Linked DNA regions of Mus musculus. The protein of the gene in region 1 interacts with the protein of each later gene in a pairwise test. Links are inferred from orthologs where the notes say so. Each region holds a gene or a part of one and is shown in the gene's direction. Other genes may lie near its edges. The genes, in order: Card9, Ppp1r18 and Ssx2ip.

Evidence for each region.
Region 2: the proteins of Card9 (region 1) and Ppp1r18 interact in binary tests that used the Homo sapiens proteins (3 or more experiments, as listed by UniProt). The two-hybrid records come from large-scale screens. The link is inferred for Mus musculus from reciprocal best matches to the Homo sapiens genes CARD9 and PPP1R18.
Region 3: the proteins of Card9 (region 1) and Ssx2ip interact in binary tests that used the Homo sapiens proteins (3 or more experiments, as listed by UniProt). The two-hybrid records come from large-scale screens. The link is inferred for Mus musculus from reciprocal best matches to the Homo sapiens genes CARD9 and SSX2IP.

Annotation. Positions count from the first base shown.
Region 1 is NC_000068.7:26,357,882-26,362,204, reverse strand, and holds the start of Card9 (caspase recruitment domain-containing protein 9), read left to right. Parts: upstream 1-1,295; 5' UTR 1,296-1,418; intron 1,419-2,645; 5' UTR 2,646-2,657; coding exon 2,658-2,841; intron 2,842-3,253; coding exon 3,254-3,391; intron 3,392-4,121; exon of another isoform or gene 4,122-4,189; coding exon 4,190-4,323. UniProt on the Homo sapiens protein: Adapter protein that plays a key role in innate immune response against fungi by forming signaling complexes downstream of C-type lectin receptors.
Region 2 is NC_000083.6:35,865,080-35,869,420, forward strand, and holds the start of Ppp1r18 (phostensin), read left to right. Parts: upstream 1-1,535; 5' UTR 1,536-2,150; coding exon of another isoform or gene 2,151-2,155; coding exon 2,156-3,706; intron 3,707-4,341.
Region 3 is NC_000069.6:146,403,305-146,407,558, forward strand, and holds the start of Ssx2ip (afadin- and alpha-actinin-binding protein), read left to right. Parts: upstream 1-1,337; 5' UTR 1,338-1,631; intron 1,632-4,254. UniProt on the Homo sapiens protein: Belongs to an adhesion system, which plays a role in the organization of homotypic, interneuronal and heterotypic cell-cell adherens junctions (AJs).

The DNA of each region.
Region 1 (4,323 bases):
CTCCCTTCAGACAAACCAGAAGAGGGAATCGGATCCCTTCCAGATGGTTGCTGGGAATTGAACTCAGGACCTCTGGAAGAGCAGTCAGTGCTCTTAACTGCCGGTTCATCTCTCCTTTTTCTTAGTCACTATTTCCATGACACCAGACTATACATCCTGGGCCCTTGGCTCTCCAGGATTTAGTTATTTTTTGTTTGTTTGTTTTGTTTTTGTTTTTCGAGACAAGGTTTCTCTGTGTAGCCCTGGCTGTCCTGGAACTCCCTCTGTAGACCAGGCTGGCCAGGATTTAGTTTTTACATGTGTTCATCCTCTGTGGGAAGCTTGCAGCTCATAGTAAAATGGTATGACCAGCCTAGTCCTAGTGATTGTACCAGCTGTCACTCCAGCTGATGGCCGTCACACATCCAGGGACGCGTGTTTGTCATGGCTCCTTCTAACCTCTGCACTGGGTTTCTCCATTCTGGAGAACTTGGGGTTTCTTCAGCTATCTGTGCTATTGACTTCCACTTCAGTTTTATGAGCAAAAGTTTCATGTTATTAACACTTTTAAGAAGCCACCACTGTGGAGGCCTTGTGACCTCCTTCCTGGAGTGACTGCAAAGCCATGGATGGACTCCCTTGCCGTCCTGGAAACCCAGCAAGCCACAATCCCTAGCAGTGTGGCCCCCCAAGGCCAAAGAGGACTCCTGACTGCTGCTTTTGGAAGTATTTTCAAGGCCACTGTCCCCATAGGAGCAAGCAGAGGGCCAGTAAGCTACAGAAGGGGCCAGCTGGGGCTCTGCATAAGTGTCCCACCCTTCCTTCCCATACAGCACTGGAAGCTTTTGCCTCAACTCATCTTGTAGGCTAGACAGCAGCGCCTGTCTAACAGCTACACTGGCTGGGCAGGGCTAGCAGGTCCCCACGCCCACCTCAGGCTGACTCTTGAAGGGCCACCCTGAAGGAGAGGCTGTGGCACGCAATCCATAGAGGACTATAGCTGCCTACAGCTTGTAGATTTTGACCAAGCTTTGTCCCACTGCACCTACCCTGCACCACTGTCCTTAGACGGCAGATGAGGATATGAGGCAGGGCCATGTTAGAAAAGCAACTTTCAGAAGCCTGGATCCAGGAGGACCTTGGACTGCCCATCCAGTTCAGATGAGCAGGCAGGGAGGGCTCCTCTGCTCCCAGAGTACTTCTACTTCCCTCTGTTCTGTTCCTGGATGGGCCAATCAGAAGGTAGACTGTCCCCTGCGGGAGGACTGGCTGGCTTGTGGCGTCAACCAGAACACATCAATCAGGAAGTGCACAGCCTCCTTCATGGCTCCACCCTTCTCCAGTTAGGGAACCCCTCCACACTCCCAGAGACCCAGGCTCCTGGTATGTCCATAACCCAGACAGCATCTGCTGGCAGGTAGCTCTCACAAGACCCTGAGGTAAGTTCAGTACCCTTCCAGGAAGGTGGGTGGAAGCCTGTGGTGACTGCTGGGGATCCTGGAGCGCGTAAGTACCTACAGGCAGGTGGCATCCTCCATCCTCACGCCTTCATTTGATTAATCCTTGTACACTGCAGCATAGTCCTCCAGTGCTGGACCATGTGGCTGTGGGGCTGCAATGGCAGGCCATAGGCCCAAGGTTTAGAGAAATGTCTGTCCACTGGGTCAACCAGAAAGCAGCAGGAAGCCAAGAGATGCCTCTGAAGAAGAGGCCTGCCATGGCCGTGTCTCTAACTGGAGGTGCAGCTCCGCTGGGGTTAGGGACTGAGCCAGGGGCGCTCTATGGCCACCTTAACTCAGCCCTAAAATCATTGAAGCCATTCACTGAGGCTACACTTGTCCACATGAGTAACCCCCTACATACAACTGGCCTGGTTGATTCCCATCATGTGGCCAAAGGCCAGGGCTCATCTAGCGGCAGAAAAGCAAACTGGAGGGAAGCCACAGCAGATGTCTGTAGACTGTGGATGACATTGCCTGCCCTTCCAGTATACTCCAGCCTAGCAGGAAGGCAGACATGCTCCTGCGGCCAACCCTCCCAGCCCTCCCGGAATAGCACCGTGCCACAGGCTGTTGCATCACCAGCTGGCTACAACGGAAGGCCTGAAGGGCACGGGGCTGTCAGGGAAGGAGGAAGTCAGACATAGGCCTGGCCCCCTGCACAGTGAGAAAGCCTCCAGCCAACCTGACCCTCTTAGTCCCAATCTGGAGACTGGCCAGCAAGGGTCCATGCCACCCAAGAAGGTACTATGTAGGATGGCCACTAGAGGCAAAAGCTCCTACCTCCAGGGCATGCCAGAGCACTTTTGGGTAGGGGCAGAAGCTAGAGCAGGGCTGTTGTACAAAGAGTATTCTCTTAGACCCCAACCGGTCACTTCCCTACATATCCATATGAGAAAGCCTGAGATGACAGGGGCCGGGCAGCTGCTTGGGGGTGCTCAGTTTGACAGGTGGTCTGAGGTGGCTTGTCTATGGACCTCTGCTTCCCCTCAGAAACTGTCCATGAGGCTGAGGAGATAGGGCTGAGCCCTGAAATTTCCCTAGAACGGATCCCTTCTGACCCTGCCCAAAGCCCTGCCCTGACACTCAGGCCTGGGTCCTATCCTAGGCTGACAGGGAACAGAAGGTGGGCACTTCCTCAGCTGCTCTCCCCAATTATAACCGCAGCCTACAGAGGACATGTCAGACTATGAGAATGACGACGAGTGCTGGAGCACCCTGGAGAGCTTCCGGGTGAAGCTCATCTCTGTCATTGACCCCTCCCGGATCACACCCTATCTACGCCAGTGCAAAGTCCTGAACCCCGATGATGAGGAGCAGGTGCTCAGTGACCCCAACCTGGTCATCCGCAAGCGGAAAGTGGGTGAGGACTGCTCCCACACCAGCAGGCTCTAGCCCTGCATGACCCCCATAAGACACCCAGCCAGAGGCCACTCCATGCTCTCTTCACTGCCCTGGCCTTGTCCCCACTCAGCTCCATCCCCGTGTAGGATATATGAGTGAGAGACTCCTCCCCTCTTGTCCTGTCTACCTGCTGTTGCCCAGTGGAGGAAGGGGAGTCCCCACCACTGTTCAGGCCCTGCCTGAGACAGCCACCAGAGGGAAGGCAGCACCCTGTCCCACCTAGACTTGAGACCTGCAGGGCGCCTTATTCAATGGCCCAGAAGGAAGGGGGTTGCTAGAGCTTGGGATGTCTACCCAGAGTAATCATCCTACCCATCTCCAAGAGCCTCCACCCGCCAGCCCTTGGCCTTGACTCTGTCTTCCACCTGAAGGTGTGCTCCTGGACATCCTGCAGCGGACAGGCCACAAGGGCTACGTGGCTTTCCTCGAGAGCCTGGAGCTCTACTACCCTCAGTTATACCGGAAAGTCACTGGCAAGGAGCCAGCACGCGTCTTCTCCATGATCATTGGTGAGAGGCACGGGTGTGGGTTGTTGCTGTGGGTGGACTCGGGTCCTGGCTTCTATGATGGCGTTGGAGTGACTAAGTGTGATAACAAGCCTTACGATGTAGATCAGGGTAGTGGTCCCTGATGATACTCACAGGCTCTAGGGGGCAGGGTCTTCCTGAATTGCTGAGCTCTTACTGGTCTCTAGAAGGGGAGCCCTTCTCTGCCTTTCCTACTCACAGCCTGGAAATTTCACTGAGAAGTAGTGACCCCTCTGAAGTGCCATTTCTGCAGGGCCCAGTTGTCAGCCAAGAGCAGAATCCTACAGTTCCCAGAGGGGACAGAGGTGTCCTCTCCTGATGGAAGAGCCACAACCCCATCAATTCTCATTCATCTCATAAAGAGCACTGTGAGATAAACAGGGCAGGGGCGATGGCACACACCTTTAGCCCTGGTAGTCTGGAGGCAGAGGCCAACAGATCTCTTGAGTGAGAGGCCAGACTGGACTACATAGCAAGACGTTGTCTCAAAAACCAGGGGCTAGGGGGAGAAGAGGGTCAACTGGAGTCTTCACCCAGGGCATGTGAGTGGCCCTGGGTGATGAGTCAGAATCTCAGTTCACCTGTGAGGGACAGCAAGGCCAACTGGGCCTACTGAGCACACTCAGTCTTGAGAGACCCATCCTACCAGTTTTCTCTGTGGGAGGCCAGGAATGCTCCCTCTGTCCCCCCTAGTCTTCAAATGCACACTTACGGACAAGGACCAGCACGGGGTCTGCAGGTGACAACCGCAGGCTCCATCTGACACCGCATGGTCCCCAGATGCATCAGGGGAGTCTGGCCTGACGCAGCTGCTGATGACAGAGGTCATGAAGCTGCAGAAGAAGGTTCAGGACCTGACGGCCCTTCTGAGCTCCAAGGACGACTTCATCAAGGAGCTGAGGGTAAAGGACAGC
Region 2 (4,341 bases), on another chromosome or scaffold:
ACAGGGGAGCACCTCAGCTCACACTGGGGAGCACTCACTCCCCTGGCACTGTTATTGGCTCTGCACCTCAGGGATTCCCTTCCATGTTTCCACCTCAGGGAGCTATGTCAGGGCCTATCTGAAAGTTTATAAGTAGTGGCTCTTTTGTACCGCGGCTGTGCTTCCTCCCCACTCCTGCCTTAGTTTCTCCTTAGGTCTTTCCCTACAGCTCTGTGTGGTCTCCTAAGGCGACGTCTCCCGATTTTAACTCGGGTTGACTCAGGGCTCCCTGCTCTCCCAAAGGATATGCGCTGCAGAAAAAATAAAATTTTATACATATGATATCCACTTGTCTGTCCATGACTCTCAAGCCGCAGAACCAATTGTGGGAAGGAAGATGAGACCTAGTTTTTGCGGTGATAGCCGAGCACTCTAAAACGATCGCAAGGCTGGGGCCACACCCCATGGACCCGCCCCATCTCTCAGTCGTCCAGTCCTGTTCCCTCCAAATATTAGTTTCTCCGCGTATAAATCAGGGAACCCACGGGAGACAGAATAACTCTCTGGGAGGAGAGCGAACTCCCAAAGCCATTTTGCCTCAGACCCCAGGGCCTGGCAGCCGCCTTCTCTGCCACGGTAACAAAGACTGGCTAGGGAAAGAAAAAGCGTGGGGAGGAGCGGCGAGAGATGGGAAGGGCGGGTCCGACTCCAAGCAGCTGCCGCTTCCTCCCCATGTCCCTCAGGGGGCCTGAGTCACGGGCCGCCGCCCCGGGTCGGCCAGCTGGAGAAGTGGGTCTGGACACCCCGCTTCTTCGGGGCTGCAAGGAAGGAAGCGGGTGAAGGTCTCTGGAGACAGACAACGGAGAGCGAGGGGATAGCCACAGCAAGAGAGAAGTCCCACCAGAGTCCACGCGGGAAGGAGGGCAGCGAAGCCCCGCCCTTCGCCGGGCTCCTCCCTGCGCCCCCTTCCCTCGCCCCATTGTCCGTAGACAAAGCGGTCGCCGCCCCCGCCTGGCCCCCAGTCTGCGTCTCCGTCCCTCCTCTTAGGCTCCCTCTTCCCTCCTCCTCTGTTTCCCTCCCTCCCTCCGGATCTCCCTTCGCCTCTCTCCTCCTCTTCCTCTCTCCCGACGCCTGACTCCACTGCACCTCCTCCTAGGGACCCCGAGGCGTGTAAGTTGACTATGTGGCTCCCACTTTAAGAGAAGTGCCTCCTGGCTCCAGATCTTCCCTGGAGTGTCTCCCCTTTTGCATAGATTGTCCCTTCAGTTCCCTCTGGTGCACAACCCTTTGGGTCAAGGTCCCCTGAGAGCCGGCTCCCTGGTTGGGGAAGACAGCAGAGGCGTGATGTGGGTCCTCGTCGCGCCCGAGTTCTGGAGCGTATCCGGTGGGGAGGCCGGCGAGATTGTAGGGACTGAACGCGGCTGGACGCCAGGGTTCTGGGAATGTACGGGGCTGCACACTTGCTCGGGTACCAAAAGTCCCCAAGGAGGGTATTTCCCCTGACCCGCCTCGGGGGCGGGAAAGACAGTGGGGTAGGGGCCGGACTGAGGGGCGGGGCCGAGCGCAGCCGGGAAGGCAGCCGGGAGCTGCGGGGGCCCCGTGCGAAGAGGCGCCGGCGCCCTTGCCTGTTTCCCGGTCTCCCCTTCTACCCTGGACCTCTGCCCTCTACATCTGTCCTCACCTCCTCACCTCCTGCCCGATCTCCTCGCCCTTCGCCGTCTGGTTCCCTGTTCTTCCCGTTTATCTCCCCCTGCGTACCGGGGGAGGCAGTCTTGACTGAATCCGCTCACTTCTCAGCCCCGGCTCCTCCGGCTCCTCTCTCTCTCCTGCTTTTCCTCTCTCCCCTTTCTTATATCTTAGGGACGGTCTGGTGCCCACAAACCCCAATCTAGCTCTGCCTCTGCCCGGAATCTCGACTCTTCCTCTCCCACTATCCCCACCCCCAACTTGGCACCCAGCTTTTCTCTTCAGTTTTTCAGTTCCTGACTCTTTTGCTGTCCTTCCTTTCACGGCCTTCCTCTATCTTCATTCTTAATTCCACTGTCCCCTCCTGCCCTTCTTCGTCCCTTCCCGCATCACTTCCTCCCCCAACCCCCATTCTCAGTCTCCGGGCTCCTCTGAAGCTTACCCTTCCTGTTCCTGTCCCCCAATACTCTCTCCTTCACTTCCAGTGACCATGACCGCTATCCCAGATTGGAAGCTACAGTTGCTAGCCCGGCGGAGGCAGGAGGAGGCAGCGGTTCGTGGCCGCGAGAAAGCAGAACGGGATCGCTTGTCCCAGATGCCAGCCTGGAAGAGGGGAATCCTGGAACGACGCAGAGCCAAGTTGGGCCTGCCTCCTGGAGAGGGGAGCCCTGTGCCTGGGAATGCTGAGGCTGGACCTCCAGACCCAGATGAATCTGCTGTCCTTTTGGAGGCTATTGGACCAGTACATCAGAATCGATTCATCCAACAGGAGCGACAGCGGCAGCAGCAACAGCAGCAGCAGCAGAGAAACGAGGTGCTTGGTGATAGGAAGGCTGGGCCTCTGGAGGTTCTAGAAAGGAGATCAAGTCCTGGTAATTTAAGAGATCAGAGTCCTAAGGGAAGAGAGTCCAGAGAAGAGAGGCTAAGTCCCCGGGAGTCCAGAGATAGGAGGCTGGTGATAGGGGGAGCCCAAGAGTCAAGTTCGAGGTCTCTTCGAGACTGGAGGCAGAGCCCAGCAGAGGCCAGAGACCTGAGTTCCAGACCAGCAGAGGCTCAGAAATGGAGGCTGAGCCCTGGAGAAACTCCAGAGGAGAGTCTGAGATTAGCGGGTTCTGGAGATGACAGTCCCAAGAGAAAGGAGGTGTTGGAAAGCATTCTGAGCCCTGGGGAGCCTGGTGACCAGAAGGCCAGCCCGACAGATGTCCATAAATGGAATCTTGACTCAAGAGAACCCCAGAAACAGAGCTTGATACAGCTGGAGGCCACAGAGTGGAGGCTGAAGTCCGGTGAAGAGAGGAAAGACTACTTGGAAGGGTGTGGGAGAGAGGAAGAGAAATTGAGTTCAGGGATTGTTCCGGTGACAAAGGAGGTTCAAGACATCACCTCGAGCGAAGTGGAGACTGCTGAGCAGAGACCCACTGAAAGCTGGAAATGGACCCTAAACTCTGGGAAGGCTCGAGAACGGACGACCTGGGACATAGATACACAAACTCAGAAGCCAGATCCTCCAGCATCTTCAGAGAAGCACCCAGGACCTTCTGGTATGGAGGCTGAAGAGGAGGCTGAGAAGGAGGAGGCGGAGGCTCAGAGCAGGCCTCTGAGAGCCCAGCAGAACCTCTGCTCTGGGCCCTCCCCCCTCCCACCAGAGCACTCTGGGACGGAAGGCTCCAGACAGCAGGAAGAGGAAGCGGCAGAACCCCGGCCCCCAACACCAGCCCCTCTGTCTCCCCCACCCTCGGCCCCAACTGCCCCCCAACCCTCTGGGGATCCCCTCATGAGCCGTCTGTTCTATGGGGTGAAACCAGGACCGGGGGTGGGGGCCCCCCGCCGCAGTGGACACACCTTCACTGTCAACCCACGGAGGTGTGCGCCCCCTGCCAGCCCAGCCCCTCCAGTCAACCCTGCTACAGCTGATGCTGCAGGGTCTGGATCTGGGAAGAAGCGGTACCCAACTGCAGAGGAGATCTTGGTGCTGGGGGGCTACCTCCGTCTCAGCCGCAGCTGCCTTGTCAAGGGGTCCCCTGAAAGACATCACAAACAGGTAAGAGAGCTACCATGCCTGACTGGGTAGAAGTCTCTTTCTAGTTCTGACTGGATGGCTTTTTTATATGTGTGTGTTCTTGTCTTCTATTCTTTTTATTCCTGCCGACTCCCTTCCTCCCCCTGCACACACCCTTCCTCTGGGTAGCCTTCCTTTGCCATTCATTTTGGAGCCCCAAGGATTCTGTTCTGCACTCAACTGCTGTGTTGGGGTGTGTCGTTTTCGGGTGTGCCCTGCCTGTTTCTTCTTTCCCCACTCTCTCGGTCCCCTCTCCTTTTCTTCCTCTGGGCTTTTGACCCAGTTAACCCTCTGGTAAGAGAGAAAAGATAACGTACCTGTGAAGGCGTGTGAAAATAACCCAGGGGGACAGAGAAGGTTGACGGAGAAGTTCAGGGAAGTTGGAATGAAGGTCTCAGCCCCAGAAGGAGGAGGGGGTCAAAGCTAATGGAGGACATTCCAGAACAGAGGTGGGGGGTGGGTTGGGGTGATGGAACAGAGCTGGCTGAAGGAAGAAGGAGTTTAGACCCCAAGTCGGCCCCCACTCCTGGCAAGAAGAGGCCATTTGAAGTGGGTGACTTCAGGGTTGCCTACCCCTCCCCCCAAACTGGGCAAATGTTAGACAGTGCTTCCTTCTC
Region 3 (4,254 bases), on another chromosome or scaffold:
TTATGCCCACAGCAGCCATTGAACATTCATGGAGGCCCGTGCCCTGCTCTCTCTGTTCCAGGGGTGGGACCATACCATGCTGTCCCTTGCACGGCCAAGCCGGACTCAGCATTTAAAGAATAAATGCCACGTTAAGATGTTTCTTGAGAGAGGAAAAGGAGTGTTTTGGAGAGTGGACAAGGGAACTTTCAGAACACCCCCTCGGATGCAGAGGGAGCAACCTCACCCCACTAATGGTCTAACTTCGAGAGTAAGACAGTCATTGGCAGTAATTTCTCACTGGCACTGTGCTCCAAAGCGCCTTTGTAATGATGTATCCTTGCTACCTGTATTTAGCATCCAATCTCCTTCAAATCCATTGTTCATTTCTGCACTCTGATCTTCTACCTAGCACTGTGGGCATGTGTAGTCCTTGTTCCTCTCTGTCTTGTTCTTCTGTGGCAGTGGTGTATTTCTTGTGTTCCTTTTACGATGTTTTGTTCTCACAGGAGCCACTTAACCCCAAACCTCTTTTTTTTTTTCCTCTTGAGTAAACAGCTTGCTAGAACCCCACCACCCTACCCTTTACTAAGGTTTCTCCATTTTCCTTTCCCAGGGGAACTTTAGGTGAAAATAGTAGGGAGAGGCAAGTGGATTTGGCCAATTGCCACTGTCCTACATTTTCTTGGCACTCATGGAGAGGGCCTAGGGAGTTTTTCATCAAGGTCTAGTTCACAAGTACCTTTTCTTAGTTTCCCTTTCCAGCTGTCTCCTCCCTAGGTCCCTTCCTTTGCCTTAGTTTGTTTTATTCACTACTTGAGCTTCTCTCATAACGCCCAGGCTAGCCTCAAGCTGCCAATGACCTTGTACTTCAATTCTGCCGGATCACAGACCCTCACATGCGTTCTGTGCAGTCCTGAGGAATGAACTCGGGGTTTCACGCGCACTACCCTGGCCCTGGTTTTACACGGATTTCTGTGCATTGGCGCATTGATTCCAGAGGCCACTACCTTCCTTCTCCAGGGCCTGACCTAATTCTGGAATGCCCCGGTGTCTCTCCGTTCTGGGGAGCGCACCTGGTTCTCCAGAGAGCATTGGGGTTCAGGGGTGGCCTCAGAGGCCCGGCTCTAAAGCGGCTAGGACCCTCCTCTTGTCCCCGTGGAGAGCTGGGGGCGGGGAGCAGCGGCCGGGTGACCCCGGGTGTAACAGGTGCGGTAGCCGCAGCTGCGCGGGGGAGAGCGGCTTGGCGTCTGCTGGGGGTTGTCGGAGGCTAGTCCTCGCTGGACCAATGCGGGCCGCGGTTGTTCGTCGCCTGGCAACCGGCGGAGCCAATGGGCGGCGCCAGCGCGGGGCGGGGTGGGATGGGCGCCCGCCGAGGAAAGCGGCGAGAGGCGGGCCGGGCGGACCGGGCGGGCTGGAGGCTGCGCGGAGCCGCTGCGTGCCGCCGCGGGTGCGGGCCCGCGGGCTGCGGGAGGCGTGAGCCGCTCCCGGAGCCGTGACGGTGAGCGGCGGGATTGTGACGCGCAGGCGGGGAGGAGGGCACCGGGCTGGACGTGGACGCAGGCACCGGGGCCGACTCTGGGCGGGCTCGTCGCGGCCGTTGCAGCGGTTGGAGAGCGTTGCTGCCCGCCGCCTGCAGCGGAAAGTGCGAGGTAGGTGCTGGGGGGGCCCCGCGCCCTTTCGGGATGCGGCGCGGGCGCGCGCGGGGTCCCTTTGGCCCGACCGCGCGGGCTTGGCGAGTCCTCCGAGGCTGCCGCAGGACTTAGCGAGTGAGGTCTGCCGCTGCTGCAGGGGTAGGTGGCTCATAGTGGTCCAGCCCCACGTTTAGGGGAAGAACTTACATCATCGCAGGGGCAGGCTTGTTTGAGAAATTATTTGGCCCCGGATTTTCCAGTGGTGTAGAGTGCGTAAATGGTGAGCTCTGTCCGGGTCAGCACATATTTCTCCTGGTGCAGATTGCTGGGTTATGCAAGTCACCTGGGCCCAGGAAATAAAACTTGCCCAATAATTCCCCATCAGCACCAGTAGAGGAATCTTTACATTAATACCCACAGTTCAGGCTCCTTAGTCCTGCGTGTCAGATTCATAACCAGCCACGCCGATGCAGTTGTGAGAGCCGGGAGTTTCTTCTAGAATCCAGGCTGGATGAAAGGTGGAGCCCAAGGATGAGAGCCTTCTGGATTTGATATTTGCTTCAATTCAGTTTAGAGTCCAGGCCTGGAGTTAGCTGAAAATAGTGCTACCATGGAGCCCGCAAGGTTCCGGAGGAAAACCTTTCTAGTCCCAAATTTGATCTTGAACGGAAAGGTCTGTATATGACGTGACACATTTACGAGGCTGGATAAAATTCAAAACCGTCGATCCAGCTAGCAAAACTTAAGCCATCCAATCTCCTTACTCCCCAAGAGCCTGTGGGCCCACGAAGCTTAGAGTGTTCATTCAAACTAAACAAGAAAAGCTGTGCTCCCAGTCGACACTTTGTCCTGCCCGGTGTGCACAGAAGTTCCTCGTACAAAGTGGCTCTCTGAGAGGATTAGGAATGGATAGAATTCAAACCGGGGCGTTTTCTTTGGTAACTGTTGGGGCCCCTACAGCCTGTCATTTTACACCCTTCCTTTCCTTCTTGTTCTCCATCTGTACAGGGAAGATAATAGGTCCAGGGATTAAGTAACAGGGCCACAGCAGCTTGGAGATAACTGCTGGGGCCGGGCCACTCCAGGATGAAATGTGAAACTCGATCCATGACACACTTGAGCCTTGTGACAAGACTTGTTAAGTCCACAGCATCCTAGGCTTGCTCAGGCAGGTGTACGCACCATGGAAAAGTTAACTGTTCATGTTAGCCCAGAAGGCCTCCAACCCAGCCCAGTCAAATTATGTACTTGGGCTCTCTTAAAATGGGAAAACTGGACAAACCAGCTTGTCGGCCCAAACCGGTTAGGATACAGATTTTGTGAAAGTGCCCTCACTTAGCATTCAGCTAGAGAGAGGGGGGGGAGAGAGCGCCTAGAAAACACTTTTCCACAGGGACTTGAATCATGTTTACATTGGAGCAGTAAGCCCCCCCCCCTCCCACACACACACACTGCTCCTGTCTTTATCCCAGCTCCCTGGGAGGCTAAGGTAGGGGATACGCGTGAGTTTAGGAGTCCCAGACAAAGTAGAACAACATACAGATCTTCATAAAAAACAAACACCTTTCATTCTGAACGACCTCACACGTTCCTTGGGGAACCAGACCAAGCCGGGCCATGCACATGCAAGGCTAGGGTTCTGTTGCTGAGCAGTGAAACCCGGTGCGCCTTGATTCTGAGGCAAGGCTGCCTTGTTACTAGCTTGCCCAAGCAGTCCTTGAACTTGCAGTTCTCCTGCTTCAGCCTCCCAGAAGCTGGGCTTATAGGTTTCTAGGCTCAGTTTCAAAAGTGATTTTTAGTGTTAGCTTCCTGTATCTTTTACAGTAGCTGTGGACTCACCTTGTTGGCTTAGCCATTAGTTCATAACGAGGCTGTGTGAGTCTGTTGTGTGTCTTGGGCAATTATGGTTAGGTGGTTGTGAGCGTACATCTTACCTTAAAGCCATGAGCCTATAGAATGAGACAGTAGAGAAACACACCATCCATTATTAGTAATGGAAAAACCTAGATTGATACCATGTGATGCTGGTCCAATATTTTGTGTAGGAACAGATTTGTTGTTTGTTAATAAATCTATTCTTTCAGTAAGCATTTATTGTCAGACACTCAGCTGCTACTTGCCAGGCCCAAGGACAAAAAGATGTGTTGCTCTGAACATTTTGTACTTTAGGAGGTTTTGTGTGGAGAAGGGGAGAAATGCAAATGTGGGCGGGCTTTAGGAAAGAAGGCCTTTCAGTTGTGTCCTGACAGGCGCTCGCCAAGCAACTGTGCGTTGGGCACAGCAGAGCAGGTGCAGGTTACAGGTGGTTGGTGTCGTCCATGTGCAGCCGGAGCTGCATTAGCGACAAGCGTTAAGAACAGCGCTGTGAACCTTGACCAGAGGGCAATAAGGAATATCTAAAGGGTTTGTTGGGGATTATATTGCTTCTGATGTAGTATGTCTGCCTAGGTAATAATTTGCATAGTCCATGGCCTCTGGACCTTGATGGTCTAGATAATACCTGAAAGCTTTTCACCAGGCACGTAATTGAAGCTGACAGGAGCCTTGGAAATGCAGCGATGGCTGTCTCAGGCGGGTCTTTGTTAAGTTGTCTTCTGTGCCAGGACTGGAGATCTAGAAGCAATGAAGATGCAGTCACCAG